Linked DNA regions of Cricetulus griseus. The protein of the gene in region 4 interacts with the protein of the main gene of each other region in a pairwise test. Links are inferred from orthologs where the notes say so. Each region holds a gene or a part of one and is shown on either strand. Other genes may lie near its edges.

Region 1 (3,762 bases), on a different chromosome or scaffold from region 4:
TGGGCTGTGAAAAGCCAGAAGCCAAGAAAAATCCATGCCACCATTACAGATGTCCCCTCCCAGAGAAATGAGAATGTAAAGTGTTCAAAGACAGTATAGGAGGCTGGGGAGAGAAGTAGGGGCAGAAACAAAGGGCATCACGGAGGCGTTTTCCAATGCCACCTGGTGGTAGGGTACTCACTGCTACTCCTGCAAGTGCCTGAGACCCCAGCCTCTGTGACCCCAGTCACTCACCACAAAGGAGCCCAGTACATGCCCCCTTCCAGTGGGTCAGCACCTGTGCTCTGGAAGGCTTGTACTGGTCACCAGGTTGCTGTGTGGATCAAGGTCCCGCTGCCTGTCATGACCCATTGCACCAGGTCAAGTCTTCAGCCTTTGCTTACATCATAAGTGGGTAATGTGGAGTGCTGCAGAGTCAATTCTGCTCACTTGCTAGTAAGACCCAAACCCTTCCTCACTCGCTTGAGTGCCTGCCTTGGTCCTCTGGTGGCTGGGAAGTTTATGTACTTGGTCCTAAAGCTCTTTTCTGGCCTCTGAACACTGTTCACTAACTCCTCCCTTCCCAGAGTGGGTTTAGTAAGCAGCCTACTTTGCTGGTCTTTGTAGTAATTCATTTAAAATATACCAGTTGTGATTTCTTCACAGGTAGTAATTTTTTGAAAACCATCCCCTCCAGAGATCTGAAAGTACCCAGTGCACTTGACTCTTGGGGCTTGTTATTTGTTGTTGTTGTTGTTTTTTGTTTTGTTTTGTTTTGTTTTTGAAACAAGGTCTCACTATATCACCCATGCTGACCTCCAACCTGTCATGCTCCTGCCTAAGCCTTCCAAATGATGAAATTACAGCTATGTATCAACAAGCACACTGTGGTTCTTTTTATAGTGTTTTTAACTTAACACTTGATTGATGTGATGACTAGTGCCTTTAAAGCAGATGGAGTTCTGTGAATTCGAGGTCATTCTAATCTACATTATGAGTTCCAGGCCAGCCAGGACTACAAAATGAGCCCATCTCAAAAACAAAAAGACATTACTGTTAGTAAATGGCAAGATGCTTTTGGAGGAAGGGGGGATAAAGAAGCAATACCAGGTTTTAAGAAGAAAAAAAAAATCTATGTGATTTTCTATGTGATAGAAACAAATATGAAGCCGGGCGTTGGTGGCGCACGCCTTTAATCCCAGCCCTTGGGAGGCAGAGGCAGGCAGATCTCTGTGAGTTCGAGACCAGCCTGGTCTACAAGATCTAGTTCCAGGATAGGCTCCAAAGCCACAGAGAAACCTTGTCTCAAAAAACCAAAAAAAAAAAAAAAAGAAAAAGAAAAAGAAAGAAAAAAAAAGAAACAAATATGAAGCACGATTATAATTTTATCTATTATTGATATTTTAAGATTTTATTCATTAGAATATGAACCTAAGCTGGGTAGGATGGCACATACCTGTGATACCTGTACTTGGGAGGCTGAGAGAAGAGGATGAGAGATTTAGAGACTGTCTCAAAAACAAAACAACCAATGAATCAAGGAATGTATTTGGCTCTGTCAAGTAGTCAGATATCAGCTGGGTCCTGACTAGCATACCTAGCTCTGGCTTCTGCTTTCTGCCACTACCCTCAGATCCCAGAGTTGAAGCAGGACATCAGCATTCCTGATTACTGTTGCCTGGGTGACGGGGAAGAGGAAGAGATCACTATCAATGCCTGGTTTGGTCCCCAAGGAACCATCTCCCCACTGCATCATGACCCCCAGCAGAACTTCCTGGTCCAGGTAGGAACTGCTGCCAGACAGAGCTGAGTAAGGAGCTTGTTGTGGTAAATACCCACAGTCCCAGCACTTGGGAGGTTCAAGGCCATCCTTGGCCACCTAGCCAGTTCAAGGCCAGTCTTGAGACCTAGTCTCAAAGAACTGTGTGTGTTTGGGGGGGGGTAGTAAAAAGGATGTAGACAGAAATGCATACAAAAAAATAGTCCTGAGGCCCTGGGGTAGGACTTCTCCCAGGTCAAGGCTACACCCAAGAGGGATTTCTCTGGGGCCAGACAGGAAAGCTCTTGGGAGGAGGGCCTGGCATATTCTAGCAGCCCCATGCCCTCTCTGTCACCTGCCAGCCACCCTCACTCCCACTGCTAGCTTGCACCTGTGGATGGGGCCAAGGTCTCTCAGCCATGGACAGATGTTCCCAGAGACTCAATCAGAGGTTTGTCACAAGGGAGGCAGCACACAGCCACTGCTGTGAGAACTTGTCACAGACTGAGTTGCTAAAAAGACTTAAAATGAGAGCATTCTTGCAGAGCATTGGGCCAGCCCTGCAAGGCAGCTCAGTAGCAGCTAAGAGCCAAGGCCCAGGAGCCTACTGCCTGGCATGGCCACCAGCTGTCACCTTAGTAAACTTGGGCAACCTCTTTGCCTCAATTTCCTCACAACTGAGGTGAAGAGGAAACCCCTGAGATTAAACCAGGTCCACACACAGTGCCTGGCTGAGCTTAGCTACATGCAGAACTATAAGGTACCTGCAGGTGAGCACTCTCTGAATGTCAGAGCATGTGGGACAAGGCAGCAGGACACGGAACACCAGAAAGGCCTGGAAGGACAGGTCCACAGGCCTGTAGTCAGCGGGACAGCCTTGCTGTCCTGAAACTGATGAGTCTCTTGTCTCCCAGGTGTTAGGAAGGAAGTACATCCGGCTGTATTCCCCGCAAGAGTCCGAGGCAGTGTATCCTCATGAGACGCACCTTCTTCATAACACCAGCCAGGTGGGCACATGGGGAATCGGTGACATGGGGCCTGCTGTCCCTAGAGACCAGCAGATGACTTTTCTTGCCTTTTGCAGGTTGATGTTGAGAACCCTGACCTGGACAAGTTTCCCAAGTTTGCTGAGGCCCCATTCCTGTCCTGCATCTTGTCCCCAGGAGAGACCCTCTTTATACCTGCTAAGTATTGGCATTACGTGCGCGCCTTGGACCTGAGCTTCTCAGTCAGCTTCTGGTGGTCATAGCCAGGGCCAGAGTGCAAAGGACCCACCAGGCAGACACCTCACCCAGAGGCAGTGAGCCTGGGGGAAGGCATAGGCCCTGGATGCTGCTAGATTCCAACAGTCCTGCTCCCCCAGCCACTCTGTAAGAGCAGAGCTGCTGTGTGTACCTCGGCCTTCCAAATTATAGATGCTTCATTTCTTTTCTCTGTAACTTGAATTTTTTCAATATCATAAATAAAAATATTTTCTGAATTTAAAAAAAACGTTTCTTCAACCCAATTACCCTGCTGTCTCTGGCAGAGCAGGCAACCAGAGGCATTGGGAAAGGAAGGGTAGGAAGTATGGGCCTTAGGAGAGACACTCTGCCCATGGTCTATTAGTGGCAAGTACTGAAGGAAGGGAGCCACATGTGTCACACAAAGGAGGCTGGCCCAGAGAAGCAGAGACCAGAGCAGTCAGGACAATGAAAAGGCGGACAGGCAGGAGCTGGCTAAGGCCACGGGGCCTACACAATGGGTGAGGACTCTGGAGCCTTGGGAGGCTGGCAGTATAGGCTGTAACTATAAGTGTTTATAGAGTTTGCAGGCCTAGCTCTGGATGGGCTGGCCTGGCTTGTTAGTGATAAAACCCATCCTGGCCAGGTGGTGGTACATGCCTCTAATCCCAACACTTAGGAGGCAGAGGCAGGCAGATCTCTGTGAGTTCAAGGCCAGCCTGGTCTACAGAGTGAGTTCCAGGACAGCCAGGGCTACATAGAGAAACCCTGTCTCACAAAACAAAACAAACAAATCCTGAA
Region 2 (3,762 bases), on a different chromosome or scaffold from region 4:
GAAAAGAGAGAAAAAAACAAACCAATAGCTGTTCTCCATGGAGTTGAATATACAGGGTGAAAGTCCTGTTTATTTTTGTTTGGTGTAATACCACTTTCCCCAAAGTCTTTATAGCTGTGCTTGTTCGCTGTAGTAGCAGAGGCACGTTTTGCAAACCATATCCATAGTTACTATCTCATTACTGTATGATGGAGTTGTGCCTGCCTGGAGAATTGCACACTTTCTGCACTGAGCATATGGCCTCTTGCATACAAAGTCTGCCTCTGCTACTTGTTATGCCATCGTGCAACTGACTCCCAGCAGTAAAATTGAGGGCTTGGACCCTCAGTGAGCCTCTGTCATATTGTCTGAAGTAGAGCACATAGCAGAATCTCAAGGACAAGGGACAAATTGTCCATAGCACAGTAACTACCAATTTAGAAAAAAAAAATGTTTCATTATATAAACTCAGAAAGTTATGGTGAGCATTCTTATTGGCTGGAGGGGTGGTGATCTTAAAAGGTTTATATTCTGAGGCCACTAGGACTATGATTATATTATGATCTGCAAAGTAACCAAAGAATATTTGACAGTCAATCATAATTATGTAATGGGAAGACTAAAACACTTTCGGGTTCACCCAGTTTCCTAATCCAGTGATGTAAGGCATAGAATCCATTTATTAGGAATATACAGATAATGGGTGTAGGCATGTACATAACTTTTCAATGTCCTACTTGGATTTTTTAGTGCCATGGACAGCACTTGAAAATTGTCCTGTGTTATTTACCAATGGTGTTTGTGGATATTTAATACAATGTTGTTGCTACTTCTTTCCTTTTGCCTTATATGTTGAAGCAAATTTGAGTTATTAAAATAGACTTACTAAAATCTTTTCTTTGGAACTTTAAAATTGTGAAACAAAGAAAACATAGTTCATTTAATTTTTGTAAATTTAACCTGAATGCTTTTCATTTTTTAAGTAGAATTCCGGTACCATAAAACACATATTTTTTAATTGTAAAATTTATCCTTTTATTTATTTATTTTTTTGATTATTGAATTTTAAAACCCATCTCTTTCTCCTCTCTGCCCTGTGTCAGTCACAAAGCTTCTGCCATATGCATTTGCCTGTTCTGGACAGTTCATACAAATGTAACCATGCACCATGTGGCTTCTTTCATTTAGCAGGCTTCTGGGGCTTTCATCCTTGTTGAAACATGTATCAGTACTTTGCTTGTTTGTGGCTGAATAGAAGTCCACGGTATGACAGTTCCTTCTTGGTTGTCCATCCCTTGTCGACAGACATTTGTTTTCTGCTTGGAGCTCTTACAAATTTTGCTTAAGAACACTCATGGTCAGATTTTTTTTTTTGGGGGGGGTAGCTTATGTTTTATCTTAGGTGATAAACCCAATATTGTAATTACTGGGTCACAAAGTTTCACTGTTTGAGGATGACTATACTGTTTTCCAAAGTGGTTGCACTATTGTTCATTTCTACCAGTGGTGGAAATACTGTAGTTTGAAGCCACAGTATTTGCCAGTGTTTCCCAGTACTTGCCATTTCAGCGGCAGCCATCCCACTGAGTATGAAGTGGTATTTTTTGTGGCTTACATCTACACTTCCTTGACTACAGCTACAGTGTGTTCTGTCTGCTGTAATCATTGTAGACTTAGAGTGTATAACGTTGTTGTCTGTTACTTTGGTAGAAATAAAATGAAATCTAATCTTTTCACATTGAGTTCACAGAGCATCTTTATTTCTACTATCACTTTGATTTTTTTCAAAAGCACTATGACTTGGGAAGATTTTTATCTTGAGGATGAGGAAACTGACCATATTAAAGGGATCTGTCCAAGGACATATCGCTGACAAATGGAGTTGGTTTCCTGGAGCCTAGGTGCTGGCCTCTCATCACTTCCTTACATCATGTTGCCTTGTTGGGAATCTTCCTGGTCCATGTTCAGGACAACTCAGACATTTCCTTTGCTCGCTTACAGTTACAGGCCAGTAGGTCACAAGTCCGTTGCTTCAGGACCTATATTACATTTAAGATTAATGGCTGTGTTGATAGTTTTCCTCATGCGTTATTACTAACCCTTCAACTTTCCTTCACGTTTGCATGAATATTTTTCAGACCTATCCAGCTCACCCCCAGGGCCTTATGGTCAAGAAATGTATGTGTTTCGATCTGAGGAGAGATTCAAATCCCCACCCATTCTGCCCCCTCACCTACTCCAAGTTATTCTTAACAAGGACACTAATATTTCAGTGAGTATCCTGAGCAGGTTGCTAAAGCGTCTGGGGAATCTTAGGACCATTGAGGCCAAACTTCAGGAATCTTGGGGCTGGAATTAGGACCCAGCTTTGTCAAGGCAATGAAATAAGCCATGTGCATGTCAGCAGCACTGTAGAATACTTTTTCCAAGACTGAACTTTAGGTACCAATAGCGGAATTTATAGTTGTTTCTGTTTCTAGTAAAATCAGAACCAAACTATGCTGGAATTAATGTCTACTATGACTTCTAGTCTATCACAAGATAAGGGTACTCTCACTAGGGGTTATACAGAATTCACAACTTTTTATGTAAGTAAATTTTATCTCTATTTTACTTAATTGATGGTTGATTCCCAAACCATCTATACCTGTCAGCAAGGTTTTTGTTTTAATTCTATTAAGGAAAGTTAGCAGATGTTGGGGCTTAGCATTTCACTCTTAGATTTAGGATTTTTCCAGATTTTATGATGTGGGAATACATAATTCATAGGAGACAAAGTGTTACCTATTTAGAGTTCTTAACAGTTCAAAGGAACAGTTAACTTGGTTTTGTCTGCATTTAATCACATTTGTGGGGGGTGGGGCTGTTTTTTCTCCTAGTGTGACCCAGCCTTACTTCCTGAACCCAATCATGTTATGCTGAACCATCTCTATGCGCTGTCCATTAAGGTAAGTGGTGGCCGCGACGCTCCACAGCCTCCCGAGTGGAAGGGTAAGAGTCACACATGCTTTTCGGTGGTAACTTGCTTTCTGCGGCTTTTAAAGCTGCAGTTGACACTGACAGTCAAGTTACAGAAGAGCCGTCTTTTCATACCTCAAGGCTGTTTGATTTTAAACTTCAGTCTCCTTTGAAGCTTCCCCCACCCCTCAGACAGGGTTTCTCTGTGTAATAGCTCTAGCTGTCCTGGAACTTGCTTTGTAGACCAGGCTGGCCTTGAACTCACTGAGATTCACCTGACTCTGCCTCCCAAGTGCTGGGATTAAAGGTGTGCACACCACCACCCATCAAACAAATTATTTGTTTTTGGTTCTGGGCTCAAGCTAGCTGAACTGTCAGTGATGGGGACCTTTCTGCTTCCCAGTGTCTGTGGGTGGCTGGAACCTTTGTACCACCTGTTTACTTAAGTTGGAGTTCAGGTAGTTGGATTCCATGTGCAGAAAATCAGGTATAGCTTCCTTCAACAAGTTCTTGAGTAAGACAGTAGAGCTTCCTAAGATATGGAATCAGCTGCAATGAGATGCCCTGCTTGTGTATACCACACGTTTCTATCGCTTGTATAGTAGATAGGGAGTTGGTTTTACCAGACGTCTATGTTTTTCCCACCCTTTCCCTAGAGTCCTTAGTTTCTCTGTTGCTTTAGTATCTTTGTGGCTTGAATGTTAGCATAAAGGTATGTAGTTCTGTGGCTGGCTAAGCCGGTCCTTGAGGGAACTCCTTGGAGCAGTTGGTGAGCAACAGATTGAGAGGTATCCTTCCTGAGTCTGAGTATATGCAGGCACCTAG
Region 3 (3,762 bases), on a different chromosome or scaffold from region 4:
ATGAGAGGCCACAGAAACTTCATGGCGGTCCTGAAGCCCCCGAATCTACAGAGTTTGAACAATAACTGCTGGATTTGAGGTAACACTCAACCTCAAAGGGAGCTTCTGAACTCCCCACAAAGGTGTAATGAGGCAGCTCAGAATGCCTGCAGGCAGCTACATCTTATCAGGAAAGCTGAAGCTCCATGCAACAGTGCTTCCCCTTTAATGACCAGGCCATGTTAAGGACTATGGCTCAAACTAAAATACAATTGCATTATGTCCTAAAACATACCTTCATACTCAGAGAGCACTCTCTTGATTAAATACAGGTTAGTTCTATAGTAAACCATTTTTCCTTACTGCTACTGGATTGTTAATCACAAATTCATATAACGTCAAAATCCTAGGTTCTGAACTTCAGAGGGAGAAAAAAAGGCTTTGTATATATTTCTTTCCAAAGAAAATGAGCCCAAAGTATGAACCTACTTCCATCTGTAGGGTAAGCACCAGAAACATCCACCAAAACTGCCTGGGTGGCAGGGCCAGAAGAAAAGGCAGTCTGAGCCTAGAAAAGAAAATATTTACATATACTTAAATGATTTACAAGTTAAATCTAGATAGAATTTCCCAAAAGAAATGAACAATTGAAGCTTTACTCAAAGTTTCATTTTAAATACTTCAGCAACCATTTATTTTCCAAAGGAAATCTATAAATAAAAAAAAATGTATCTTTTTTATAGTCAGTGCTTCACAGTATTCTGCAAATAAATCCACTGTATGTGCTTTCTCTATTGGTATTTGAGATGAAGCCTGATGTAGCCCAGGCTAGCATCAAACTCCCCATTTAGCTGAGTACTGCATTACCATCAACTCCTGATCCTCCTGCCTCCTCCACCTCTGAAGTGCTAGGTTTACAGGCATGTGCTACTATGCTCATTTATTTCATGCTGGGGTTGGACTGAATACCGGCCTTCACGCATAACAGACAGGCCCAGGCTATAAAGAGCTCGGAATTGAAAATGGTTCTAGGAGTATGTGGCACTGAAAGCCACGGCTTAACGGCTATTGCAAAATAATTTACGGAATATGAACTGCCAGTTCACTGCTGTGGTGCAAAGGGCCAGAAGACAAGAAGGAATGTAACATTCCTCTGTAACTTCTTGCCAGGGCATCTCAAGCAGTCACCCACCCTAGATAATGAAGCACAACAACTAGCCCAAAAGGCTGGACTAAGAGTGTTTTGAAATCTAACCAGAACAGAAGAGCCATACCCCACCTCTGCCCAGCCCTGTTCCATCTGCCAGTAGCTAGCTCTCTGCCCTGAACACTGAAGGTCCTTGAAAGGAATCCACTTCTCTTAAAGGGGCCAGCTGACGTAAACTGAAGGCCAGGAAAACATCTGTCAAAATCAACTGCCTTCTGTATTTCCACAGTGAAAACCCTCTACTAAAAGCCAACTGTGGTTAACTTAAGTTCAATTCCATACTCAGCTACTAAAGAATAACATGGACAAAGATCATTTTTTGCAATCTGTATGTTAATCCTTAATGTACTAATGTAATATTGATTGATTTTAGGCCAAGTATTTCAGATAAAAGCTTTATGAAAAGAGAGCATGTTCAGATGAACTTTGTGAAAATTACCACAGGAGGGGCAAAACTTAACACCACAGAAAAGGCAGACATTTAAAAATGACTAACCATGCCCCTCATAGCTTAGAAGCATCCCTCCTTGGCAGCTCACTGCACACTTCAGATGCTAAAAGCTACATGTAATATCCTTCCTAGACTGAGGCTGGAAAAAAACTGTCCTTGGAGCAATTTCCCCACCTAGTGCCACTGCATCAGTCCCTGGGACACCTGAGCTACTATTACTACCTGGTTCACTCTCCTTTCACCCCAGAATGGTATCAAGAAAAATGTACCAACTTTACACAAAACTATGACTATCTAAAGACTTACATGCATATTATATACTCCAACTTTTATGAGTTATATGCAATTTAGACTGTACTAAGAAAATGAAACATTCTGAAGACTGTAGAAATACTTAAAAGAAATACTATCTGGCTGGAGAGTGGTTCAGGGGTTAAGCTGTAGAAAGTATAGTGTTCGTAAAGCAGACCCAAGTTCAGTTCCCAGCACTGGAGCCTATGGAACCTGGCTGTTCACAACCATCTGTAACTCCAGCTCCAGAGAGACCTCTTCTGGTCTCACAGGAGTCTACACGCATGTGTCCATGGCATACACATGCATGCATGGGCTAACAAATATACAGAGAGAAAAAAGAATTTCTAGTCTTCTTGAGAAAGTTTAGTCTACAACAGACTTAGACATAGCAATACACCAACAAATGCATGCTTCCCATTTCATTTCACTAGTGAACATGTTATGAAATAATTCTTAAAATTAAAAGCAAACGTACCTGAATTACTTTGTCTACCTTCAAATCTTCAAGAGATGGATAAAGAGACATTTTTGCAGGTTTTTTCTAAAAGAAGAAAAAAAGTTTTTAATGTCATAGAAATATACACAGTATGTACGGCCAGCAATATGCACATAAACATGGACAGTGCTGTTTAATACAATAAACATGTAAGTTCAAAAGCCATAACAACAGGACTGGTTAAGGCATATCATAGTTGTTAACATTTAATAGTTGTTACCAAACTCCATCTCTGTTCCCATAGCTACCAAACTACATTCATCGTGGATTTTAAACCTTAACAAGAAAGGCTGCCTTAACTTCACAAGTTGTGAATATCAAAGACAAGAGGCATATGACTTTTGCTTAGCTGACACAGTGCCCCTCAGCAAAGCCAGGGTCAGGAAACGGGCCTTTCACAAGATCTATTACCTTCTAACAACTAGAGCCAAGAGCAAACAGTATGCAGTATCAGCATGTATGACAGCACTGGGAGAATACACATACGTACAAGGAAAAACTAACATATGCCATCTGTTTATTTTTTAGCAATGGTTTTATCTTGAGGAAACAGCTCTAAGAAGGAAATTATTACCTTTCATTTTAATATTTCTACGCTGTAACATTTTTTAAGCTACCATAAATAGCTTTTTTGCAACAATTTAAAATTCTCTGTAATATTGCAGACACACATTTTACATTTTGTTTAGACATTCTGAGATAAATACCCAAGACTTCCCACTTAGCCAAATAAAACAGAATGTATCCTAATTGTTAAAAGGTTTTGGCAAATTACTGAGCCAGCCCATCAACCTCCTACTTCCAAATCTATTCCTTATTTCCTGCTCTCCAAAAACAGAGCTGAAGCTCTTAGAAGACAGGATGCTGCTGCGTGTTCAGCAAGGGCAATCAGGGGCACAAAGAGCATCTCAGCCACGCTGGGCCACCATCCTCTCCAACCAGATCCCCACAGGACATGCTTCTCTAGCAGCTTAGCCCAGCTACGCTGAGCAAAAAAGCAACACAGAAAGCCATCAGGCTGGAGCAGGTAGCCCAGACCTTTTCATATGGCTTTGCAACAAATTCTAAATGTGACATGCTATAGTAAACACTACTGGAAGTGCTAAGGAGCACCTCACAAGGTATTGAGAACTATTGGAAGGCAGTTTGTTTCAGTGGTGCACTCTCTCAGTCCTAGTAGTGGCTACTTATTAAAACTAAAACCCCAATAGCAGACATGAGAAGCCCTCATTTGAGTTATTGGCCAGGGCTGTTGTGATGGCTTGAAAGAAAATGGCACTATTAGGAGGTGTGGCTTTGTTAGAGTAGGTATGGCCTTGCTGGAGGAAGTGTGTC
Region 4 (4,560 bases):
TTTACCTAATATAGTCCTAAATCTCAGAGTGTACAATATAATTTACCAGACATTTGTTAATTATGTTGAAATAATCGAGCTGGGCCTAATGAGGCTTATGCGTTGATAAAAGAACAGTATTATAACTATTTTCTATGTTACTTTATCCTCTAGTAAGTCAAAATGTTTACACAAGAGTATCAGATGACTTGATCTTCAGTTGAATGTTCACTGAAAAAGGCGATAGATGGCTTGGAGTTAAACTTACCTATGATCTAATCGATGTTAACTCAGAGATTGAACATATAGATTTTATTTTCAAAGTGTACCAAGACAACTGATGCTTGCCTGTGATGGCCTATCAATGGAAACATTCTTTCTACGTTGGTCCCCATGATAGTATCCTTGCTAATGATCATACTTCCCGTTCTTGTCAAGCGTTACTACACCCCCGGTTGACACAAATTTCTATTCTGTTTGCTTGTTTCTATGTTCTAAAATGAGATTCACAACATGAAAACAAGCTTCCCTTTGCTGTGTGGTTATTTTCCATCGGTAAATGTGATGGAAACGACTGTTAGTCAATTTTAAGTCGGTTTTTATGAAAATAACTTAAGGATGTAAATTTTTTAGTCCTACTCTCCATTTCTGCAACTAAAAATAACTGTGGCCCAACAAAAACTCCTTCGAGTGCATAAATAATCTTTAGGGCATTGATTCAGCTAAGAAGCTGGCCATGGTTTCCCCTTGCAGAAAGAAAAAGTGCTTCTGGCTCTTGCTGTGGTAGCTACCAACCTGCTGAGGCCATCCAAGCACTCCAGTTCATAAATGCCCAGCCTGGGGAACCCCAGTGCATTCTAACGTTTTCACTGGTATCTTTTCAATAGCTTAGAATTTCCTATGTAGTTAAAGATAACCACTGCAAATCAATGACAGTGCTGGTAAATTGCTTAGACACAGCTAATCATTGTGGAGCATTAAAAAGTCATCCCCGACCTAGGAAAATAAAAGTTCAACCATCAGGTTGGTAAGGGTCACCCCACAAGGAGGCCAAGAAAAGTTTCTGTCATTTTTCAACATGATTTAAAATACACAGCAGTTACTGCCATACACTGCAGAACACCTGGACTAAATTGCCTAACATGCTACATTCTTTTCCATTATTTCCAATGCCCAGATTCACATTTCCTAAATCTCCATAGACTAACACAAAAGATTAAATAGATGCAAACTTTTTTTTTTTTTAGTTAAGTGACATCTTCCAAAGTATGTACCCAGGTTGCCATGTTCCTTCAGAGCAAGATGCAATTAAAAAGGAGGAGGAGGAGGGGATGAAGAAGGAGAAGAAAAAGAGAAACATCTTAATAATGAGAACTATAGCTAAGGGCGTTATGTGCTGTCTAGAAACTCAGTTTCTCTGAACTGCCACAATGCACTTGCTACTGAACTTTCAGGCCCTGGAAACCACTGGGGAGAAACCTTTGCTTTAGCTGCTCAAGTAATCCACACTTTCGCTGTTCACTCTGCTGCATCTTCTCCCACCACTGTCCGAGCTGCTCTTGTGCTCTCCGGAGCATCTCAAAACTCTACTCAAACAAGGAAGGCTTTTACTTTCCACTTTCGAAGTTCAGGGATTTTTTTGTTTGTTTTGTTTTTGTTTGTTTTTTTCCCATAGGATAGCCTCACCTGAGTCTAATCAAGAATGACCTTTCTTCAAATCCTCATCCATTTATTTATTCACGATTTTTAGATGTATTTCTTGAATACTTCTAGATTTCTAGATAGTGCCTTTTTCGGCAAATAAGTTAAATGCTTTTTAAAATTATTACTATTTTAAGTAGAATGCTATTTACGGAACTCTGAAAGCGAAACGTTAAAAAAAGAAAAAAATAAAACTTTTCTTTCGAGTATTTTGTCAAATCCCAGTTAAAGTTCAAGATATTGAGCAATAGTCTAGAAATCCAGTTAAGGATGGGAAAACTCGAGCTGTTCAGAATTGGGAAATTGTAAGGGAAAAACCAAGAAGCGCATGCATGCACACAGGCATGAACGCCCAGCCGATGCAACATCCCAAGGCTCACACCCCTCCCAACTCGTGGATGGAGCGCCATGCTCCTTAACCGATTTCGCATACTGTCACTCGCTCTTTTTTCACCGCCGCTGGAAAACTAGTTTATGGTCTTGTAGGGCTTTGAAGGGGCTGGACGTAGATATATTAACCTCAGCGAAACACGTGCTCCCAAATTACAGGGCCGAAGCTGCAAGGACGAATTCGGCCAGGCCACTGAGACTGGAAGAGCTAGGTATTCCTTAGTTTGTCTGTGAGAACCTTCTCGCAAATCCCTGCCCCTTCCCAGCCCAGGGAACACTCTCCTTAGAGGTGCTCTGCCCGCACTCACCTGAGCTGTCGCTTTTCCTCTTGCTGCCACTTCTCTTTTCTACATCCGCGGGTGACAGCGCTTGGCGGCCATAGTCCCCTGGTGCGCACGCGGCCCCGGTCGGGGTGCTGGAACCCAGACTGGATGAGTTGGAACACAGGACCGGAGGGCTGTTCCCCAGCTCCGGAGGCCCTCCCGAGTCGGGCTGCAGGCACAGGCTGTGCCGAGCCGCGCTAGGCGGGGAGGACATCTGCGGGAGGTGCCAGTTGCTCTGCAGAGCCTGGTGCTGCTGCTGCTGGTGGTGGTGATGGTGGTGATGGTGGTGGTGGTGGTGCCCCCTGTGATGCTGGCTGGCAAACATGCTCTCCTCGTTGGGGTATCCCGCGATTATGCAAGACGAGGAAGATGTGGAGAGTTCGGGGTAGGACATGTGGTCAGATCTTCCATGGAGGGCCAGAGAAGACTGCGAGAAAGGGTGCAAGCCTTGTGCTGTGGCGTGCGGGCTGCGCAGGCAGCCAAAGAGGGGGTGTTCCATGGCATGCAAGTCTGGACTTCCAGGCAGAAGACTTCACGATGGTCCCAAAGGCCACCAAGCTCTGTGACTTTTCACTGGAAATCCTAGAACTCTTTTTTCCCCCCACACTCACACACTCCCTAAGAGTCGCGCCTTTGAGCAGAGCTGGCTAATCCCAGTCCAGAGCCTTAGCGGCCAGTCTCCTGCACATATAAACACTGGGACCTGGAGGAGCTTCCCTCGCAGCTGCTCAGATGTCAAATGTGGGAGAGGTGGAAGCCAAAAGAAGGTGGTCCCAGAGAACTGCTTTCACGGGGGGGAAATGGCTCAGAGAGGTTATAAATAGAGTGTAATGTGAGCTGGGGGCTGGCTTAGGAGCCCAGAGCTGACCACATGCAAACTCTCTCCAAAACTCCCGCTCACTCAGCGCCACCATGCTCTCTCATTTCCAGTTCCCAACTGCTGGCAGGACAGGAGCGGCTGCTCCACGCCCGCCCGGCCCTGGGAGCTTCCACGACAGCCAGTGGAGAGTCCAGAGCCTTAATAAGCAGGGCCACCTCGATCTGTCCCATAGGCTCCCAATGGCCAGGCGCGCACCCACTCTCAGTCTCGCTAAGCCAGCACCAAGTGTCCCGTCCCGAGTCTCTTTCAGCTCTTGGTGGGGGTAGGGGTGGGAGTCACCTGCAGGAGCTCCGGAACTGCTCCCTGACCTTGCGGACCAGGAGAACTTATGAGAATTCAAGAGAAGGGAAAAGGCTAGAGCAGTCTAGCTTTTCAAACTCCGATACTCGCAGTTCCCGCGCCCGGGAGCGCAACATGGTTTTCCCCTTTCAGTTGTCTGAGGATAGGTTGTTAAAGATAAAATAAAATAAAATAAAATAAAATAAAACTGATGCCAGGTTGGAAGTTTCAGGGCTGTGCCCCAATGATAGCATAAAGCTGTTCTAAGTGCGGAAAAGAAAGGTACCTGGTTGAGTGAGGGATGGAAAGCTTGAAGCAGAGATGGACTCAATTTCTGATGCCCTGGCATCACACAAGTGCTGCTCCAACTTGTGTCTCTTTCCTCCTTTTTCAGACCCTCCTCCCACCTCTCTTTACTAGTCCAGCTCGCTCAATTTCCTAACCATTAGCTCACCGAAAGTTTTCCTAGGTCAGTGATAATCTGAAGCAATGTCAAATGAAATGTGCTCCCAGTTTAACTCTTTAGGAGCCAATCGACAGCCCCCTCTAATCCTTCCGGACAAACATTGTCTTTTTCTGTCTGAGGTGCTCTTTTCACCCTTTCTGTTTCTCACCGCTTGTCTGTTGTAAGCAGACACCACACTGAACACTCTCCAGTTCTCTCTGCTAGGACTGTTCAGTTCCCCCAGTTTACAGTCTCCTCCTGGAAAAGAACTACACAACTTGCCACTGGTGGATTTTGGAGAGCTGGGGATAGGCTGGGTTTGACACAGCCACTAGCCTAGGGACTTTACTGTGGGTCCTGTCGTTTACCCACATTCTGAGTGTGCCACTATGGTTAACTGCGTATGTTTATTGTCTGAGTGACCAGAAGATGATGGCCAAGTCTTTGAAATTGCTAATGGGGTTAATGAGTACAGCAACCTGAACTAGACATCTGGTTTAAATTAGGGAAAGGTATTGATTAATTTTGGAGGGGGTGTCCCCAAGGCAGAACCCTTCCCTTGG
Region 5 (4,370 bases), on a different chromosome or scaffold from region 4:
TAGAGACCAATGTTGAAATGGCCTGTGAATGGAACTCAGATCTCTGCACCCCTGGTGTCGGCAGCTTATTGACAACACTGAATTTGGGCAAACACAGAGGTGTCATGCACCTACTCCCGGTGCTGGTGTAATCTGAAGTATGCTTTGGAGTAATAATTTAATAAGATCTATCAACAGATAAAGCATACCCTAGGATTCAGGATTTTCAACTGCAGAGAGATCTAAGCTCTGTGTGAGGCTGGCCCAGTTAGCACTCAGTGAGTGTTCTTTCCTATTACAAAGGTGATAATCATGGGAAGAGATAATAAATTATTCACTAAAACTCCCGCAGCCAAATTCAGCTCTCACTTCTGCTATCTTTTGGAAATCTAATGAGACAGTGTTCCTGTTCTAGGATGGTGTGGCCATGAAACCTCTGCTCCTTTCATCTTTGCAAGCTGCACCAAGAGGAAAGCAAAATTCTCCCCCATCTATAGGGCCCTGTTTCTGGGGCTCCTGGGTACACATTGACAGAGTAGCTAATGATTGTGTAACCTAGCCTCTTGATAAATGGATACAGTGGGGTGGGCTTGGGTGGAATGGAGTGGGACAGAGGGTCCAGGGGAGAGGAAACAAAGCCTAAGACCCAAATCTGAGTGATTTAAGTGTAATGCCTCAGGAACATGAGCAGGGTCCACTGAAAGAAGGGAGCTCCTGAGGGACCCCACATCTCTGTCCCTTCGGTTCCTTCTTTTTAGAGTGATCGTGACACTGCCATTATTTGTAAATATTGTGCTTGGCTTGTCAAAGAGTTCTGTTGATGGAAGAGAAAAACCATGTCGGCCTGGATTTCTAATAGTCAGACCCTGGTCTTTCAGTCAATAAAGATAAATCCTGAAGTCAACTTACCCAAATATCAGGAAAAGTACCTACCTACCAAGGAAAAGCCACAGCCGAAATCTGTGTGAGAACTTGAAAGGTGACAAATGACCGCTAATGTCTCCAAGAGGTTCAGGGTGCCACCATTCCTGTGGAGTTGCTCGCATGAAAACTTCCAGTATGCACTCACATACTGGATACTGCCCCCTGGGTGTCCTCCTCTTACCTAGCATGTTAAGGCATGGTGGGAGTCAGGGATTATGACATAAGCAAATGTCCACAGGCTGAAATAGGTTAAAGCCAGCTCAGAAGCTTCCTAGGAGGGACATCACCTGTGAAGGCCTCCTAAACTGGCCAACTTCCTGCCACAACTCCCAAACTGCCAGCATCACTAGAGGTGGCAAGGATCCCTCTGAGGGAGAAGTGACCTCAGGAATCTGGTAGAGGAAGTTGTCAAAACTCTAGAGGCCTAGTACCAAGGATCTTAGAGCCATGGAGTCGGCTATGTGTGTTTGTTCTCCATGCTGCACCTGGCAGAGATGCTGCCCTCGGCTATTCTCCTGTCTGTGCTGCAAGTTCATCTTCACCGCAGAGCGGAACTGTACCTGCTTCCCCTGTCCCTACAAGGATGAGCGGAACTGCCAATTCTGCCACTGCACCTGTGCGGAGAACCCCAATTGTCACTGGTGTTGCTGCTCCTGGGCCAATGACCCCAACTGTAAGTGCTGCTGCACATCCAACACCAATATGAAATGCTACTACTATGAGAGCCGCTGCTGCCACAATGCCATCATCACATTCAGAAGGGGTCGCCTTCGGACCCTCCGTATCTCGTAAGTGCTGGCCATCCATCCTGTGGTTACATTGGAAGAAACAACAACAAAAACCCTGGGGAACTCATGCTATCTGTAGGGACCCCAGAACAAGCCAGTGTTTCCTAGAGTGCACTCTACCTGGGAGAGAGAGAAAAAAAAATCAATGGTAATTTTGTAGCAGTTACGAGCAAAGTGAGCATCCACTGGTGGTATAGACCTCAAGTCCCACACCCAAACTCCATCACGGATGCGAATTCATGCTGCACCCTTTGACCCCAAACATCTCATCTTGCAAACAAGTGATAGGTGTATAACTGCTTATGTAACCATTCCTCTCCCTCATTCTGTGCCCACTGGACCCAGGAGGATATTTAACTGGGAGATGCTAAGTTGCCCAGAGCCACACAGCTAGGAAGGGGTAGAGTCATTACTTGAATCCAGAGCTAGGTCAATGGTCTCTAATTAAAAAAAAAATCCATATTACAAAATGTAGACCATGATATGCTGTATGTTCTGTAGCCTGTTATAGGATACAAAAAGAAAATACCAACTGTTCTCCATCTCCCTCCTATGAACTATAACATTTACCTGAGAAGTAAGAACTTCTAGGTACCACTTTTGACCCTAATAACCTACAGAGGTACTTGAACTGCTGGTCACCCCTTCTTTCCTATCCAAAGTCCTGACACTCAGGTTCTCAACCACTCAGTAAGGTAGCAAGCCCAACATCTAGCATACTATTCTTTCTATGTCACATGTCAGGGGACTTAGGAGCAAGAGGAGATTTCACAGAGGAGGGGTGATCACAGCTCAGTCCTTAGGAGTGGGACTGAAATTTGTGCTTTAGGCAGACGCCTTAGGCATCAGTGGCTCCCAAACTTGGAAGTGCATGAAAATCCCCTTGGGATCTTTCAAAACACTCATCATGTTTGGACTCCACTCCTCAACATACTATTTTTCACTGATATTGGGGTAAAACTTGGGCTTCAAAATTGTAAGCACTCTATCCCTATCAGGTGATTCTAATGGGAAGACTGGGGGAGTTGAGGATGGGACCTGGAGGCTTAGAAGGCAGATGCCAGAACAGGGCAGCACTCAGGATGGAGGGACTGATGCAGAGAAGCAGTGGCTGAGCACTTCAGCAAGAAGGCAAAGATGCTGGGCTTAGTGACTGCTTTGGCATAGGATCTAGGGGCCCAGAAGCCTACTTGGGGGTCTTCATTCTGTTTGAGTGTGGGCAGGGATGCGATGCAAGTGCCAGGGAGTCAGCTCTGATTCACTGGTACTTACCTTCCAACTCTGCTCTCCTGGTCTCCAAACCCCTTGCCGGCACAGCATCCTCATTTCTCCCTCACTCTGGTCTAACTTAGCCTTGCTAGCTTCATTCTTTTCCTCACTCCCTTTCTCACAATTACTGCAGCCCCTTGCACCATTAACAGGTGTCTCGTAGTCCTACTTGCTCTCCCTTCTCTCTCTCTTTCTGATCTCTTACACTCTCTCCATTTACTATATACTGATTCTGAGTCTTACATTTTTATCAAAGAAGTCCATGCAGCTACCACATGTCCAATCAACTCGTGACTCCAGGTGACCCTTCCAGGAACAAGCAGGAGGCTGGGAAGTCAAGAGAAAACAAGGCTGAAAATTGTGAGGCTGCCAGCCTGCATCTCAGCATCCAAGCCCTCAGGGCTGAGTTGGCTGTCTGGATGTCTAAGGATATACGGGGGCACTCTGTGACTCAGAGCCACCCTAGGACAATATGCTTGGGAAGCACCTTTGACTGCCAGTGCTCTGAGACACAGGTTTCTTGGCCAAGAAAGAGGAGGAGGAGACAAAGGGAAATCAGGAAGACTAGGACAGAAGAGGACACAGCCCAACACCAAGACCAGTACCTTGTTATGCACAGGGAAATGGTAGGAATAGCCACAATGTGTTCATCACAGCCAAGTCACTTACTTCCCTAACTGCTTTTACACTGACTGCAGCTTCTCAGAGCATGCACTTGAATTCCACAAGTGCAGCCTCCCGCCATTAGTAGATCTTACCACTGAATACATAAAACTGACCTCAGATATTAGACAAATAAAGACCTGTAACTCACAACAGTAGATGCGTGTGTGGGCGTTCATGGGCTTGAATACTATTTCCTCCTATTGTGGTTTCCTCCTCTACTGTGGCCATTAGCTGGTGAATAGCACAGGAGAGGGATTGCAGGGACCACATCCACACTTCCAATGGATCATCTCAGGTATACTTCATAAACTCCCAAGGAAGTGCTGTCATCTTTGATTTCCAGTTGGGGAACTGAGGATAAAAGAGATTCAGAAACTCCCTAAACCAGCAACTCTAAAACTTCCATACTCTGTCACATGTCCGTTTCCCAGAGGCAGACCCTTGTGTATTACTGATGGTCTGAAAGTCAGCTCTCGGGTTCTTGGCTCAGCTCAGAGATTGTCTTGTTTTAGTAAGGTCATTTACTACCTCCCTATGTCCCATCCCACATGCAACAGGAACGGTAATGTCACCACATGCCAGGCACAGCCACCAAAAGCATGCCTATAACTGGGCAAGATTGGATTTGTTGATTCATTGTATCAAGTGGGAACATGTTCCATTCCATGCCAGTGTGAAATACCAAGGTAAGAAGCCATCACAGGCCATCACAGGCTAGCGCTCATGTTAGTAAGAGTAGAGTCA
Region 6 (3,762 bases), on a different chromosome or scaffold from region 4:
GAGGAACATCTCCTCGATTTGAATTAAGAACACTCCAGACTCCTGGCACTCCTGCTTAGCATAAGTTGATTGTATGTCCTTGACTTGACAGTTTCCGCTCAAGAAGCCCATGAAATTAAAATCCCCTTCCCCGATGCAAGATTTTACTGCTGTGTCCTAACAAGCCCACACACGTCATGGTGTCAAATTAAGGATCTCAGCTGAAAAGCAAATTTCCCTGTTTGGAAAGTCCTATTAATTAACAAACACCAGACACATCAATGCCTACTACAGTCATCCCCAGTTAACGCCCCTGAAAACAAGGCTTCGTTGACATGGTTGGTTAAAGAACCATCAGAGTAGTCTGGCTCCTGGCAAGCTGACACAGGGAGGGTGCCCCATCTTAGCTCAGAATAGATGTACTTGCAGAATATTAATAGTGCAGAGCCTGGAACTAAAATATAGTCCCCCTCACCAAAGAGAACCTGGGACCACTGGGAGACGGTTGAATAGCTCACAACTTGTGTGTGTTCTTGTATGAAACTGATGACTGCCTGGAGACCTTAGTGCCCGTGTCTAGGCTTGTGACAGTGTGTGCCTGTTGGGTAGTACCTGTTGCTCACTTTCCAAGTGGGCCACAGAGAATACCAAGGCTAACTTATATCTATCTGTAGCTATCATGGTTATCAGGTCAATGGTAGGGATACTACTGGTTACATTGAAGTTTAATACTGGCATCAGAAGGCACTAGCCAGTGTTGCCAGCAATTTGAATATTCCCAAAAGGCATCAAACTGTAGTTTGCCTCATTCTTGGGCGTCTGGGAACATAATAGCTGTTGTAGATGGTGTTTATTTAGGCTAGGTGGCATACTTGTAACTTGTATCCAACTGTAACTATCTTGGTTACCAGGTCCATGGTTGGGATATCATATCACTACATTCAAGTAACCATCTTTAATATTGACACTAGAAGGCAGGAACAGTGATCCCAAAGAAAGCAATCTGCAACTTGCAGCATTACTGGGGTTCCTAGAGCATAAAAGGGTCTGTGTGTTGTAAATGTTGTCCATGGGGACTGTTGGCATGCTCACCTGTGACATCAGTGTCCATAATCCTTTGAAGAAAAGGTCAGGTTCTGTGTCTTACCCACCCAGGGGTTCATGCATGGCCCTGATACTAAAAACCTATACCCTGAGGCCCATCTCTTGCTGGGCCTTCTCCCAGCCATCCAGCCCTGGGCATAGCATGGAAATATAACAAATTCAAACTGCTATTAATTGTCATTCCTTTCTCAAAGCATCAGTGGCTGGTGGGCAAGCCTGCTGCCCCAGGCTCCTATCCTAGAATGGCCAATGGCAAGCATGGACTTCTTGTCTGCAGTACTTGCCCACCCCATCAAATAAGCCATGGGGCTTTGTGACCTTTGCATAGAGGACCTGATGGAAAAGAGGGCTAGATACTGGCTCCTGAGAAGCAACAAGTCCCCAGGGATGGAAAAAGCAGGAGCAGACTTGAAAGGTCCTGTCATGGGTGTGGCCTTACCGCTTCAGGGTGAGCCCTGAGGTGCAGCCTGATCCTGCCTAGGCAAGCAGGCTTTAGAGGGATGTTAGAACTTTTGAGAACATCCTTTAGGGAATGGCTAACCAGTGGACAAAGGACAGTTCAAGAACACTGTAAGTGGAAGTAAAAGGGGTCCAGGAGTGTGAGTCTCTTCACTTCCTCCTGAGCCACACTACCTCTTTAGTGCCACAGAAAAACCAGTCCTCCTGTCTCTACAATATGTCCCATGCACACTGCCTGCAAAATCCTGCTGCCCATAACTTAGTTTCAGCTCCTCTATCTGTAGAGGCCTTTCCTGGCTCCATCACAAGTGTGCAAATATATCACAGCAGTCACCTGTTTACTCGTACAGAGTCACACACATGGATGTACACACGCTTAATATCTCTATTCACTCTTACCCACAACTTTCACAAAATGCACGACTCCTTCATACACACAAAGCACACAGCTAAAATTGTGTCTCCCAGCTCATGAGCTCATGAAGTTCCCTTTTTCTTTATAGAAGGTAGCACAGTTTGCAGTCATGGACTGACCTCCATGCTTGCCCTCCTTACTGGTGTCCTTTAAAGAGTCACATGCCCATATGCAGGGCAAGGGCTGCCTGGCATGCAGTCCACATTAAGTAAACATTGACCCAATTGATACCTCCACTCAGTGCCCTTCCTTTTGGCTTTCAGTAAATGGACAGAATGGCCGATTTTACTAAAAATACTAGCATATGCCAAAATATACTCAGGTCAGTAAGGAACTGAACTCATCACAGATTTTAGACTTTTCTCATTGAAATCTGTGCTTGAACCACCATGGAGCCATCTCTGGGACATGGCAAACTGTTTAAAACACACCCAAGCTGTCCACTGCCTTGACGGTATCTATTGTTTAAAAAGAGTTTACATTCTAACAGAAATCGAAAGAAACAGTTCCGGTTTTCCGGTTTTCCCGCCTGCGTGAAAGCCGTTTTGAATAATTCCCAATTTGTCAGAAATGATTTGGGGAAATGGATATCTCGGGGTTCTTCTGCCTCAAGGTTGACCCCGCTGTCATTCTCTCTATAATGAGTTCCTGCTTGTCAGAGGGTGCATCTATCCCTCGAATCCATGTGAAGCAGAATTTCATGAGTGGTTGATTGCAAACTGGAAAGCCCTGGGCTGCAGGTCGGTCTAAGGACTGTGCTGCTCTGGGTGAACACAGTGCTTGCTCAGGCAGACCCTGGTCTCCACGGTGCTACCCTGCTGATAACTCCCGTTTGCTTCCTCCCCAGCCCAGTGACTTCTCTGTGTCTCTCAAAGCGTCAGGGAGGAACAAGCACTTCAAGGTGCAGCTGGTGGACAGCGTCTACTGCATTGGGCAGCGGCGGTTCCATAGCATGGACGAGCTTGTGGAGCACTACAAGAAGGCCCCCATCTTCACCAGCGAGCACGGGGAGAAACTCTACCTCGTCCGGGCCCTGCAGTGAAGGCAGCCGTCAGCCTTTCCATGCCCTGCCCGCTGTGGGCCTCGCTGCCACCTCCGCCTCCTAGAGCCCAGCGGTGCCAGCCACCTCCACCCACGCAGCCTGGATCACCTCCGTGGCCCAGTGTGTTCTCTGCAGCCCTGTTGGTCCAAACATAGCTACCCAGGCCCTCATAGCCATGCCCGCGGCCACCACCTTCTGGCCACCTTCAGGTGGTGAGGGTCAAAGGGAGCAAAGCTGCTCACTTTTTTCCTTTATAATTGGAAGCAGTCTGTTTAAATCTTACACACACACACACACACACACACACACACACACACACACACGCGCGCGCGCGCGCGCGCGCGCGCAGTAAAAGACTGAGGCTTATTCAGAGGGCAGAAAGTCTGTTATGTAGTGAATAGCACACTCTGAGAGCTGTGTCCACGGGTGCTTGGTGCCTCCCATCAGCCATGTTGGTCCAGGACCTGCATTTTTTATTTTATTTTTACTTTTTTTTGGCTCCAGGCTCTGCAGGAGTCCAAGAATGTGCGGATAGCAATACTGGAAACCCTGGGGAGATGGTGGTGAGGGAACTGCCCAGTGCCTTTGAGGCTGTGCTTGCAATAAAAGAGGGTTTTTTTTGTTTTTTGTTTTTTTGTTTTTTCTTGGTCTGCAAAAGAGGGGACTGCAGAAAGAAACTCGGGTAATGTACCCCCAGGTGTGCCATCCACATAGTGCTCTTTCCCTCTTGCCCTCCGGCTTGTTTGAATTTCACAATTATGTA
Region 7 (3,762 bases), on a different chromosome or scaffold from region 4:
TAGAGTTTAGGCAACAGGGAGACTGTCCCCATTTTACAGATGCAGCAGTTGAGGGTCCTGGGACCCAGGGCTGCCTAGTCAGAAGCATGAGCCACATCTTCAGGTCCTGTGACTGCACATCTGGCTGACTTCCTTGTGTGTCTCCAGGACTAGTCTCAGACTGTCCTCTCTTGTTCGGCTCAGTAATTACTGTTTTCAGCTGTAGGGGCTCCTTGGTCTGGGCCTCATGGGAGGGAGGTAATTACATCCTTCCACATGCCCTTAGTCAGCAGCTCTCAGTCAGCCCCTGTGACCAAGCCCAGCACTGACCTCTGTCCCTCCCAGTCCAGGCCAGTGGATTGGAGATTGGTTGGACCCTCTTTGGCTCTGGTTGGCACATGTGGCCAGCCCTTCTCTTATAAAGCACTTATATAATCTGTTGGATTCAGACCCATAGGTGCCCTAGGGACAGAAGGTCAGTTTTCAATGGCTCTCTGCTAGCTTGACCCAGCTACTAGAAACATCATGTTCCTAACCCAGGGCTCCTAGGCCAAGCCTTCTTGTGGAAGGGGCAGCCCTGCCTGCATTACTCTATACTTGCCACCCCACCCTCCCAACCTGTGGGCCACCTGCAGCCAGACTTATCACAGCACTTGACTTTTTCACTCCTGTGCATGAACACAGCCCACATAAACATCTTAGAGGCCATTTACTGCTTTTACAGAAAAGTCAGACTCCTCATCAGATCAGCTGTACCTGCTATCTAGCTTCCTACTGTAGTCTTGTACTTAGCCTTCACCCTGTCCAGTGGTTGCCTCTACAGGGGCAAGACTGGTGTCATGTGTACCTGTTTGAGTGTATTTCAAGCAGGTTCCCTTCCTTGAGAGCTGCTGCTGGGAGAACTCTGGGGTCTATTGGATGCAAGGTCTCTCTTCTAGCTGGGAAGCCTTGGCCTTCCTTGGAGGACCTCCTTGCTTCTTGGGAGCTGGGACAGGACAGTGGTACTTTGATTTCTTGGTCTCTGGTGTCTGGGGGAGGAATGAACTTGAGAGTATCTGCCAGCAAACTTGAACTCCCAAGGAGCTGCTGGTGGTTGGACATGGGAGACAGCAGTCCAAACCTACTTCACTGACACCTTCTGTCCCTTCTTTGCCATGGCAGGTCACTGGATGGCCGGCTGCAAGTGTCCCATCGGAAGGGGCTTCCCCATGTTATCTACTGCCGCCTGTGGCGATGGCCTGACCTGCACAGTCACCATGAGTTACGGGCCATGGAGCTATGTGAGTTTGCCTTTAACATGAAGAAGGACGAAGTGTGCGTCAATCCGTACCACTATCAGAGAGTAGAGACACCAGGTATGTGTGTGCAGCCTTGCCTTCCCCATCCCACTGACTCTGGAGGGTCTAAAGTGCCACTGGGACTGTGACTTCGGTCCCCTGGCACTGACCCACCTCTGTTGTGTCTCCCTTGGGGACAGTTCTACCTCCAGTGTTGGTGCCACGCCACACCGAGATCCCGGCCGAGTTCCCCCCGCTGGATGACTACAGCCATTCCATCCCTGAGAACACTAACTTCCCCGCTGGCATTGAGCCCCAAAGCAATATTCCAGGTAGGCATGGGTGGCAGCACAGGCAGCCAGGAGGCAGGGATGATGCCATTTCCCCATCCTCTCCATGTCGTTGTTCATGCAGCAGGCTCGTGGGCCCTGATTCTGAACCACATCCCAGCCGGGAACCATTGGTGGCCCAAGCTCCCCTAACGATGTTTTTCTTGGCATGAAGGACCCTGTGACCCTTCTGCGGGGCCTCAGTGCCGTCATTTATTTTCAAAGCGGAAATAGCAACACTGTGTTTCTGCTCTCCCTCCCAGCCCATAGGGCTGGCACACAGGCGGGGTCCCTGAAGGGGAGGGGCTGCAGAGCATGGGGTGAGGAGTACCCTGAGCTTTGGACTGGGCATAGTGGAGCTGAGGCAGTAGATAGAATGGATTTCATTGTCACTGTGCCAGTGCTTCTAGAAGCCCCTCATTTACATGCAAATAATGTGTGAATCACTGCCAGGCACTCTGGGCATCCAGGGAAGCTGTGCTTGGCCACGCTAGGGCCAGTCAGGGCAATTTTTGCTTTCGGGGCAGTGATCCAGCTGTGTTCCTTTTAGAGCGTTCTAATTTGGATGTGGCTTTCGCTTTCTGGGTTGGCTTACTGGGCTGAGGTTAGCTGTGGCCCGTGTCTTGGGTCAGGACGCATGCACGCTGAGGCCAGCTGTCTGGCTTCTCAGATACTCACAGGTAGTACTGGGCTCTTGGGGGCTTGGGGGGGGGTAAGCTGTTTGCTCTCTGTCAGATGGCAGACTTTGGAGGGCTAAGGCAGGGTGGGAGGGTGAAGTACAGTTCCAAGAAACGGCTCATGAGTGTGCCACCACTGAATGGCAACTTCACTAGGGAGTTAAGCCACATCCCCTAGAGACGACAGTGACAAGAGCAGCCGATCTGTACAGGGACAGGCTCAAGGCCACAGCTCCTCAGGGGGCAGAGATGGTAAGGCAGGCATGTCCTAAAGCCTCCCTTCTTAACCTGACCTTGAAGGATGGGGACAAGCCAGCTAAGCTGTAGTCCTAGAGCAAGGCATTTCAGAGTTAGGAGTCAGTGTGTTAGGATCCAGGTTAGGAGCCAGAAGGCAACACTGGACAAGTCTGAGCATGGCCGAGGCCAGGAGCTGATACCTTCCCTTAAGGCCCAGGTTCCTTCTAGGCACCCTGTACTTGGTGGTGGAATGAATGCAGGATATATTGGCCAACAAATGGAATGTCAGGGCCAGGCCTTGCATTTCTTTTAATGGAGCTGCCTGCCTTCTCATCTCCAGAAACCCCACCCCCTGGCTACCTGAGTGAAGATGGAGAAACTAGTGACCACCAGATGAGCCACAGCATGGATGCAGGTCAGTAGTGTGTGCATTCCTGCAGACCTGTTCTCCCCCGCTTCTGTCTCCCTGCTTTCCTGTCTGGCTAGTGTCTACAGAGTATCCCCCGTGTGCCTCGTACATCACTGGTGGAAGGAACTCTGTGCCATAGGGACACAAAGTGGTTTTACTGGCAGTGTAGCCTGTCCCAGATGTTGAGGTGTTAGACCATCGGGTTGGCAGAGGGTAGAAGGTGGTTCCCACACTCAGCGCAGTGCAGGTGAACAGGGAGGGGAACCTGCATGGAGGAATGGCCTTTGCTGGTGGCCAGCAAAGATACCAGAAGCAACTTTTTTTTTCTTTTTCTTTTTTTCCAAATGTAGTGGCCAACTGTGATCAGCGTGCCCCTGCTGGGAGGGACTGGCCCTAGTTTTCTCCTGCTATGTTCCCAGATGTTTCTTGTGTCATATGTTATGGGACCAAATTGGTTCCAAACCAGCAGCTTCTAGGATAGAGCCCCAGCTGCCACACAGGACCTGTTCTATAATGTGTGGCGGGTGAGGAGGGAGAAAAGGGCCCAGCAGATGTTCCGTTCCCACGGTGGCGGGCTGCCTCACGCACAGACCACAAGAGGTTACACAATTCACAGAAGGGTGAAAAAGGATCACACGGGGGAGAAGCGTAGTCACAGGGGTGTTGTGCTTTTAGGTCAAGCACACCCCCAAAACACACCCATCCAGGCATGTGGCTGGCAGCATGGACCCAGCTGGAATGCATGGAAGACCTTCCTGTACTCAGTGCCAAGTGGCCACTGCAAACTTGCAGCTATGCACGGAGTGCTGGCATGGGAAGTGAGCCAGCTAGGCAGCCTCCCTCCAGCTGCAGAG

Evidence for each region.
Region 1: the proteins of Meox2 (region 4) and Kdm8 interact in a two-hybrid assay, tested with the Homo sapiens proteins (2 studies listed by BioGRID). The two-hybrid records come from large-scale screens. The link is inferred for Cricetulus griseus from reciprocal best matches to the Homo sapiens genes MEOX2 and KDM8.
Region 2: the proteins of Meox2 (region 4) and Prkab2 interact in binary tests that used the Homo sapiens proteins (3 or more experiments, as listed by UniProt). The link is inferred for Cricetulus griseus from reciprocal best matches to the Homo sapiens genes MEOX2 and PRKAB2.
Region 3: the proteins of Meox2 (region 4) and Sdcbp interact in a two-hybrid assay, tested with the Homo sapiens proteins (2 studies listed by BioGRID and IntAct). The link is inferred for Cricetulus griseus from reciprocal best matches to the Homo sapiens genes MEOX2 and SDCBP.
Region 5: the proteins of Meox2 (region 4) and Trim42 interact in binary tests that used the Homo sapiens proteins (3 or more experiments, as listed by UniProt). The two-hybrid records come from large-scale screens. The link is inferred for Cricetulus griseus from reciprocal best matches to the Homo sapiens genes MEOX2 and TRIM42.
Region 6: the proteins of Meox2 (region 4) and Nck2 interact in binary tests that used the Homo sapiens proteins (3 or more experiments, as listed by UniProt). The two-hybrid records come from large-scale screens. The link is inferred for Cricetulus griseus from reciprocal best matches to the Homo sapiens genes MEOX2 and NCK2.
Region 7: the proteins of Meox2 (region 4) and Smad3 interact in binary tests that used the Homo sapiens proteins (3 or more experiments, as listed by UniProt). The two-hybrid records come from large-scale screens. The link is inferred for Cricetulus griseus from reciprocal best matches to the Homo sapiens genes MEOX2 and SMAD3.

The regions. Positions count from the first base shown.
Region 1 is NC_048596.1:75,356,833-75,360,594, reverse strand, and holds the end of Kdm8 (bifunctional peptidase and arginyl-hydroxylase JMJD5), read left to right. Parts: intron 1-1,612; coding exon 1,613-1,762; intron 1,763-2,652; coding exon 2,653-2,745; intron 2,746-2,822; coding exon 2,823-2,987; 3' UTR 2,988-3,218; downstream 3,219-3,762. UniProt on the Homo sapiens protein: Bifunctional enzyme that acts both as an endopeptidase and 2-oxoglutarate-dependent monooxygenase.
Region 2 is NW_023276806.1:58,812,327-58,816,088, reverse strand, and holds part of Prkab2 (5'-AMP-activated protein kinase subunit beta-2), read left to right. Parts: intron 1-2,117; coding exon 2,118-2,251; intron 2,252-2,858; coding exon 2,859-2,927; intron 2,928-3,762. UniProt on the Homo sapiens protein: Non-catalytic subunit of AMP-activated protein kinase (AMPK), an energy sensor protein kinase that plays a key role in regulating cellular energy metabolism.
Region 3 is NC_048595.1:154,149,822-154,153,583, forward strand, and holds part of Sdcbp (syntenin-1), read right to left. Parts: intron 2,473-3,762; 5' UTR 2,458-2,472; coding exon 2,407-2,457; intron 548-2,406; coding exon 469-547; intron 1-468. UniProt on the Homo sapiens protein: Multifunctional adapter protein involved in diverse array of functions including trafficking of transmembrane proteins, neuro and immunomodulation, exosome biogenesis, and tumorigenesis.
Region 4 is NC_048598.1:164,594,716-164,599,275, forward strand, and holds the start of Meox2 (homeobox protein MOX-2), read right to left. Parts: upstream 2,893-4,560; coding exon 2,379-2,892; intron 1-2,378. UniProt on the Homo sapiens protein: Mesodermal transcription factor that plays a key role in somitogenesis and somitogenesis and limb muscle differentiation. Required during limb development for normal appendicular muscle formation and for the normal regulation of myogenic genes.
Region 5 is NC_048597.1:205,884,615-205,888,984, reverse strand, and holds the start of Trim42 (tripartite motif-containing protein 42), read left to right. Parts: upstream 1-1,350; coding exon 1,351-1,691; intron 1,692-4,370.
Region 6 is NW_023276807.1:4,950,446-4,954,207, reverse strand, and holds part of Nck2 (cytoplasmic protein NCK2), read left to right. Parts: intron 1-2,804; coding exon 2,805-2,999; 3' UTR 3,000-3,762. UniProt on the Homo sapiens protein: Adapter protein which associates with tyrosine-phosphorylated growth factor receptors or their cellular substrates. Maintains low levels of EIF2S1 phosphorylation by promoting its dephosphorylation by PP1.
Region 7 is NC_048597.1:175,186,762-175,190,523, reverse strand, and holds part of Smad3 (mothers against decapentaplegic homolog 3), read left to right. Parts: intron 1-1,140; coding exon 1,141-1,334; intron 1,335-1,456; coding exon 1,457-1,588; intron 1,589-2,839; coding exon 2,840-2,914; intron 2,915-3,762. UniProt on the Homo sapiens protein: Receptor-regulated SMAD (R-SMAD) that is an intracellular signal transducer and transcriptional modulator activated by TGF-beta (transforming growth factor) and activin type 1 receptor kinases.